2 linked regions of the Callithrix jacchus genome follow. The protein of the gene in region 1 binds, or shares a complex with, the protein of each later gene. Links are inferred from orthologs where the notes say so. Each region holds a gene or a part of one and is shown on either strand. Other genes may lie near its edges.

Evidence for each region. Proteins that work in one complex are often made in the same cells at the same time.
Region 2: the proteins of SIN3B (region 1) and PHF12 are in contact, whole or in part, in a cryo-EM structure (PDB 8BPA), measured with the Homo sapiens proteins. The link is inferred for Callithrix jacchus from reciprocal best matches to the Homo sapiens genes SIN3B and PHF12. Residues at the interface, in NP_056075.1 of Homo sapiens: Glu307, Phe311, Leu318, Glu322, Val323, Tyr324, Glu325, Asn326, Leu328, Arg329, Cys330, Ile331, Leu333, Phe334, Asn335, Glu343, Leu347, Pro350, Phe351, Lys354, Phe365, Lys395, Arg396, Glu490, Glu493, Leu494, Val497, Tyr545, Arg546, Ile547; in NP_001028733.1 of Homo sapiens: Leu20, Met21, Gln23, Ile24, Gln25, Leu27, Leu28, Pro30, Pro31, Lys32, Thr33, Asn264, Leu266, Val267, Leu269, Val271, Val273, Phe275, Thr276, Asn278, Arg279, Ser280, Arg282, Cys292, Pro293, Leu294, Pro316, Asn317, His318, Ile319.

The regions. Positions count from the first base shown.
Region 1 is NC_133523.1:15,437,805-15,441,988, forward strand, and holds the start of SIN3B (paired amphipathic helix protein Sin3b), read left to right. Parts: upstream 1-1,384; 5' UTR 1,385-1,407; coding exon 1,408-1,518; intron 1,519-1,775; coding exon 1,776-1,882; intron 1,883-3,417; coding exon 3,418-3,571; intron 3,572-4,184.
Region 2 is NC_133506.1:104,699,703-104,703,202, forward strand, and holds part of PHF12 (PHD finger protein 12), read left to right. Parts: intron 1-364; coding exon 365-523; intron 524-1,082; coding exon 1,083-1,875; intron 1,876-3,112; coding exon 3,113-3,238; intron 3,239-3,500.

The sequences.
Region 1 (4,184 bases):
TTGGGAGGCCAAGGCAGATGGATTGCCTGAACTCAAGAGTTCAAGACCAGCCTGGGCAACACACACACACACACACACACACACACACACACACACACACACAAAGAAATAGGAAGACCTTGGAGGTTTGGAAGCAGTGGTGGAATGAACCGAGTTTTTTCTTTCTTTTTTTTGAGATAGAGTCTCTGTCACCAGGCTGGAGTGCAGTGCTGCAATCTTGGCCCACTGCAAACTCCACCTCCTGAGTTCAAGCGATTCTCCTGCCTTAGCTTCCTGAGTAGCTAGGGCTACAGGCGCGCGCCACCACACACGGTATTTTTGTATTTTTAGTAGAGTCGCAGTTTCACCATGTTGGCCAGGATGGTTTCAATCTTTTGACCTCGTGATCTGCCCACCTTGGCCTCCCAAAATGCTAGGATTATAGGCGTGAGCCACCGCACCTGGCCTGAGTTTTTTCTTTTCTGTTTTTTCTTTTTTTTTTTTTGAGGTGAGATGCTCTAAAACAAACAAAAAACACTGCTATGCTTCCCAGGCTGGAGTGTAGTGGCGAGTTCATAGCACGCCAAGCTAATTTATTCACTTTCAATTTTTTTTTAGTAGAGACGTGGATCTTGCTCTGCTGCCCAGGAGGTCTTGAATTCCTAACCTCAAGCATTTCTCCTGTCTTTATCTCCTAGATAAAGTGGCCTGAGCCACCACCCTCAGCCTGGAGTTCTTGAGAGTACCAGGGCTGAGAAAGTTCCAGGGTTAGGAGGCTCCTAAACTGGTCCAGCTGGGAAGTAATGGGACCAAGGACAGGGAAGTGAAAATGGAGGATTAGGACTAACTCAAAGGCCGTTTAGCAAAAATTCACCATGCAAGGCCCTGTATTAGGGCGCTGGGTGCTCATATTTCATTGTCCCATCAGCTCTATAAAGCAGGGGCCCACAGACCTTTTCCATAAAAGGCCAGATTGTAAATACATCAGGTTCTGCAGATCTGTAGGATCTTTAGCAACTAGCTACTCTATTGTGCAAAAGCAGGCTGAGATCCTAGGTAAACTGGCAGGCGTGTCTGTGTGCCAATAAAACTTTATTCAGGGACCTTCAAATGTGAATTTCACAAACTTCTTCACTGGTCATAGACTATTCTTCTCCTTTGGATTTTTCCCCCAGCTATGTAAACATGTAAAAATCATTCTGAGCTTTCGGGGCCAGACCAAGAAACCGGCGGGCCTTGGTTCGCCTACCGCCTGCTATATAAATCGTTAATTAGGTTTGAGAGCAATTTTAAGAAGATCCTCAGAGGAGACCCTCAAAGAACACCGCCCCTCTAACGTCATCAAACCCCGCCTCCAAAGGCGGAGGCTGCGCATGCGCGGGAGGCCCTCGGGCGGGGGCGGGGCGGGGTGCAGCTCCGACTTCGAACATGGCGCACGCTGGCGGCGGCGGCAGCAGTGGTGGCCCCGCGGGCCGGGGGCTGAGTGGCGCCCGCTGGGGACGCTCGGGCTCCGCGGGCCACGAGAAACTGCCGGTGCACGTGAGTGGCATCCCCGCCCTCCCTTGGGGACCTCATCTTCTGGACTCCGCGGGCAGGCGCCCCTCACCCAGGCCCCGCCCGGCCCTGGCCCCGGCCCCGCCTCAGACTCCCCTCTGCTCGGTCCCCGATCCCTCACTCCTCACCTTTCACCTTGGCCCTCCGAAGGTCCGGCCTGTTCCCTTCTCCTCCAGGGATCCCAGCCCCTCGTTCCCTCCTCCCACGGCCCCGGCCCACCGGGACTCTTCCCCGCTCTGCAGGTTGAAGACGCCCTCACCTATCTGGACCAGGTGAAGATCCGGTTTGGCAGCGACCCCGCCACCTACAACGGCTTCCTGGAGATCATGAAAGAGTTCAAAAGCCAGAGGTACCCGCGGGGCCCCTCTCCACCTCGGGGGACCCCCGTTGGCCGGAATCGGGCCTAGCGGGGTGGGACCTCCCCTCTCCAGGCTGCCCCCTTAGCCGGGTGACCTTGCGCGGGTTGTCGAATCTCTCAGAGCCTTAGCTCTTTCTCGTAACAAAAATGGAAATGGGTAGTACCCACTTTGTGGAGCTTCGTGGGGATTCCTGAAAGGAGGGCAGGGACCTGGAGGGAGCCAGGGAAGGCGAGGCCGTGCACACTCATAGAGTCGAATCCTGCCTTGATTTAATATGTTGATTGTTAAATAAGTTTTGTTCATGAAAGATTTGGTGGGACCCATTTTGATTTTTTTTTTCAAGTCTTGGTGATTGAAATTTTTGGCACCCTCTTCCTCTTTAATCTTGTCCTCAGCATGCTTCTCTGGGCTCACCGGAGTCCCAGGCCTGCTTGGAAGTGAGACGCATAAAATGCTTAGTAAGGGAGCTGGCATACAGAAAACGTTTAAAACACATGAGCTGATTTTGCAGGCCCAGAATCAAGGAGGATTACAGATAGATGGGAAACCCTGGGATCATGCACTTGTTTTTGTAGGAGGCTTAATGGGACTTGGAATGGGTAAGGGATCCACCTAAGTGGCAGAGGTGGCACTAGAACTCAGACCCTCTGACTCAGATGCATTCGGGTTACATCCCTACCATGCTGCTGCCCCCTTTGGTGGGGCTGGCCTGGTCTCCTTCCAGGAGCCCAGTGCTAAGGGCTGTGATGCAGCCCGGAGGGAGACCCCATCTCTCCCCTCCTATTTATCTTACACTTTTCCCATACTTGGCTGTACCGTTGGTGTTTATGCATTGCAGTCGTTTGCTCAGATGGAAACCTGTGTCATAGTCATCCCCATCTGATATGAAATGAGGGAATTTTTCACATTGCTTAGAGGACTTAGGCCTCCTGCCACTTCTTGGAGACCAGGACTTGCGGTTGGCTCTCCTGACATTTTCAGAACCCAGTACTCATTCGTGGAGTGTTTTGCGGGAGCTGAGCAATGTCAGTATTTTCTGGTTCTCACCAAAAGGGCACAGGGAGCTCAGGCCTAGCTGCTCAGGAAATAGATCATGGTGTACAGATGCTATCTCAGGGGCACCTTTTTTTGGAGACGGAGTCTCACTGTGTTGCCCAGGCTGGAGTACAGCGGCATAATCTTTGCTCACTGCAACCTCTCTCTCCTGGGTTCAAGTGATTCTTGTGTCTCAGTAGCTGGGATTGCAGGCACGCACCACCATGCCTCGCTAAGTTTTGTATTTTTAGTAGAGACAGGGTTTCGCCATGTTGGCGAGGCTGGTCTCAAACTCTTGACCTCAGGTGATCTGCCTGCCTTGGCCTCCCAAAGTGCTGGGATTACAGGTGTGAGCCACTGTGCCTGGTGGATCATATTAGCTTGCTTTGTTGTCTGTGGAGAAGGTTGTTATGTGGCAGTATCAAGGGAGTAGGGAACAGATTTCATTTTTTATTTGCTTCCCAAGACCCACTCTTGTTGTTTCTTCTAGTATCGATACTCCTGGAGTCATCAGACGTGTCTCTCAGCTCTTCCACGAGCACCCTGACCTCATTGTTGGATTCAATGCTTTTCTTCCCCTCGGATACAGAATAGACATTCCCAAGAACGGGAAGTTAAACATACAGTCGCCTCTAACATGCCAGGTATGCCGCTACAGTGATTCGGGTGTTCTCAGCCTTCACCGCGTATATCTTGCTACTCAGGTTGGGCCACGTGTCTCTCTTGTGTCATTGCTAGAAAGCCACTTAACATCCGTTCTTTTTCTAGACATGCTCATTGCTTCTAGCACAAATCAAAATAGATACGGAAACACCTACACAAGCAGCCTCTGCCTCCCAAATTGATCTGCTGGGAAGATTTAAATCAAGAGTGGATGTCAGGGAGGTATCCTCCTAATGCAGAATTTTGTGTGAAGTCTGAGATCTGGGCCTGAGGCTTTCCCAGCGAGTGTACCAGGCAGGCTTGCCCTTGTACTTGCTCATGTGGTCGTCTACCTCTGATCACTCTCAGAGCCACCTGTGAAATAAAGTGGTTGAGATGGTGTGAGAACAGCCAGTTTTATGTTTCATGGGATTGTCAATAGGATCATTAGCTCAGTTGGGACTCCTGACTTTGCTTTGGTTCCTTCTTTCTTGGGTGAGAGGTGCTGCCCTCTTATTTATTTATTTATTTTTTTGAGACAGAGTCTGGCTCTGTCATCCAGCCTGGAGTGCAGTGGTGCGATCTCAGCTCTGTGTAACCTGCACCTCCCAGATT
Region 2 (3,500 bases), on another chromosome or scaffold:
CATCATGTCAAGCATTTTTCTCTCTCAGTGACTGCTCATTCACCTCCCAAACTTGACACTGAGCAATAGGAACCCAGAGTACTACTCTGAAACCCTGTCCAGTACCCATTTTACACCTTTCAGGCTGAAGCAGAGGACAGCACATGGTGGTTTCTATGTTTTGCAGGCCTTAGACCTTGATGAAGAAAAGTGGAGGCCCCACCTGCTATATTTCCATTTCTGAGCCTCCTTTTCCTTAGTGGACCCCAGAGTGGATGGTCCCTTGGGCACCAGCACCACAGACAGAACAGCACACCAGGGCAGAATCAACTGGACATGTTGGAACTATCTCCCTCTCCTTCTTCCTTCTGTCTATCCTGAACAGGTTCCTGATGCTATAAAATCTCAGTACCAGTTTCCACCCCCTCTCATTGCACCCGCGGCCATTCGGGACGGGGAGCTGATCTGCAATGGGATCCCTGAGGAATCACAGATGCACCTTTTGAACTCTGAGCACTTAGCCACCCAAGCAGAGCAGCAAGAGGTGAGTGAAGGCAGGGCTGGGATTCCAAATTCAGTCTTCCATGTCACCACAGCTGTTATCTAAAGTAGCCTCAGTCATTCTCATTCCTGTCCCCACCTACCCTCATCCTAACCCCTCAATAGTTGAGTATTCCAGAGGGAACTTCTGGCTCAAATCACAAAGGCAAGTAGGAGATCTACAAAGTCAACCACTCTGCTTCTCTGCATCATTCCCCCAGTGCACCGAAATCTATACCCTAGAAAGAGATGAGTAGACCCATAGAGAGGTTAAGTGATAGTGCTGGATATTGGTCACAAGGTAAGCCTTAAAGGCAGAGCCAAAATGAGGATCCCAAGCTCTGTTGGCCAGAGGGAATGTTGCCTGCTGAGTGTACCCACAAGTCTTGCTTGGGAATGGAAATGGAATTCTATCAGGAATCAAGCACACCCTTTGTGAGCATTTGCAATGGGACCTCGGAAACTGCTTGTCAGCTCTGCTGCAGCTCTGGCCACTGTGGCGGGAAGGACCAGCACTTCTCAGGCCTCTCACCCTCCTCTCCTCTCCTCTCCTTCCATTGCAGTGGCTCTGTAGTGTTGTTGCGCTCCAGTGCAGCATATTGAAACATTTATCTGCTAAGCAGATGCCTTCGCATTGGGACTCTGAACAGACAGAGAAGGCTGATATTAAGCCTGTTATTGTGACTGACAGCTCAATCACCACCTCCCTGCAAACAGCTGACAAGACACCTACACCTTCCCACTACCCCTTGTCCTGCCCCTCAGGGATTAGCACCCAGAATTCCCTGAGCTGCTCTCCACCCCTCCAGCCCTCAGCCCTAGAGGACATCGGCTGCAGTTCTTGTGCGGAAAAATCCAAGAAAGCCCCTTGCGGGACTGCCAACGGGCCAGTGAACACAGAGGTGAAAGCCAATGGCCCACACCTCTACAGCAGCCCTACTGATTCCACGGACCCCCGGCGACTTCCAGGCGCCAACACCCCCCTACCAGGCCTCTCATACCGGCAAGGCTGGCCCCGGCCCCTCACGCCACCAGCAGCTGGGGGCCTTCAGAACCACACCGTCGGCATCATTGTGAAGACAGAGAATACCACTGGCCCCAGCTCTTGCCCCCAGAGGAGTTTGGTTCCTGTCCCAAGCCTGCCCCCTTCCATTCCCAGCTCTTGTGCCAGCATCGAGAACACCAGCACTTTGCAAAGAAAGACTGTCCAATCACAGATAGGACCTCCGTTGACAGATTCAAGGCCACTGGGCTCACCCCCAAATGCCACCCGGGTGCTCACTCCCCCCCAAGCAGCAGATGGTATCTTGGCCACAGCAGCCAACCAACGATTCTGCTCACCAGCGCCATCGTCAGGTGAGTGCTGCTTAACCTTGGGGTGATTTGGAATAATGTTATGCTCTTCCTGGCAAATAAGACAAGATTCCAAAAGCACTTATATCCCTGTGAATACTTCAGAGGACTTTGGCCTCTGTATTGTTTGTGTTACTCCCATTTCCGTAATACAAGAGGAAGCGCATGTTAACTTGTCCCATTTATAGATGGGACTGCTTAGGCTCTGAAAGCTTCAGTGATTTCCTTAAAATGACCTACTGAGTCAGCAACAGGATTGGAACCACAGCTCAGGTTTCCTGACTCCATCCTGTACCTTCCAGGCCTATGCCCTCACCTGTTTTGTTCTGTCACCTCAAGGCAGGGTGCTCTCTGGAATTACTGTGATTAACCTGAGGTTCTGGGTGATGGCTTCAGTATTGTCAGATCCACACAAAAGAATGGATTCATGCCTGATGTATAGTCTCAGGAACAGTTCATGTGAGGAACTTCCACGTCAGGAAGCAGGGATAGATAGTAGCACTGTCTTTCAGAGCTATAGAGTGGGATGCCTACAGGGGTTTGTCTATCCCAGAAGCTTGCTCTCGGGCCACCGGCCAAAGGGCGGTCCTTTAGGTCTGTATTTGGCCTAATGTGGACCTCTCAGCTGTCCCCAGTCAGCACTCAGGACCTCAAGGTTGCTGACCCCGGCATCTGAACCAGGTTTCAGATGCTGCCGGAACCCCCTGTGGTCTCTCCCGTCTGAACTGAAGCTGGCCTCCTAGTCAGCTGGGAGTCTCGGTAACCAGGTGACTGCGATTTCTCTGCATGGGGGCCCCTGGTCCCAGGATGGCCCCACTTCCAGGCTGTTTTCCTATCTCTCTTTATCACTTAATACCAGCATGAGTAGATTTTCCATGCTGTGAGTCATATTTCAGTAGGCAGGAATTACAAGGGCAGGCACCACTTACTTAAGAGCAGAGGCAGCAGGGAGGTGGTCATGGCCCGAAGAATGAAGCTGCCCCACTACTTTCCCCAGAGCAGTGGATTTCAATGGTTCTCAGTGCTCTGAGACTCCTGCGTGCCCGGGTATATTTGTCGTTCCATCTGCCCTTCCTCACCACACGTTTTTAGCTCTACGAGTTCCAGAACCTATGGGTTGAGAATCAAGAAGGGAACATCACCTTGGGTCCGAAATCCAGACCTGTCTCAGCAGTGGGGGATTGGACCGGTGGGTTTCCCTCAGGCAACGTAAGTAACAGTCTTCCTGCTCCGTCCCCAGATGGCAAGGTCAGCCCCGGCACGTTATCCATAGGAAGCGCTTTAACCGTACCCTCTTTCCCAGCCAACTCTACTGCCATGGTGGACCTCACCAACTCACTTCGAGCATTTATGGATGTCAATGGAGGTGAGTGAGTGAGCAGCTGCTATTCCAACAGTTGCTATGTTGAAGGTGCTTTCCTAGATATCATTCAGCTCATTTCAGAAAGGGGGAGAAGGAACACCTGATCCCAAAGGTCTAGGGGAGATGGGAATGAGGAGTATCCTTTTGGATAAGGGAGTGGAGTGAAAAAGAAAGCTCCTTCTACAGCTCTGCCTTCTACATATGCTTATACTCACAATCAGAGATGAAGGGAGGACAGAGCCAAACTGAACCAGTGAGAAAAGAA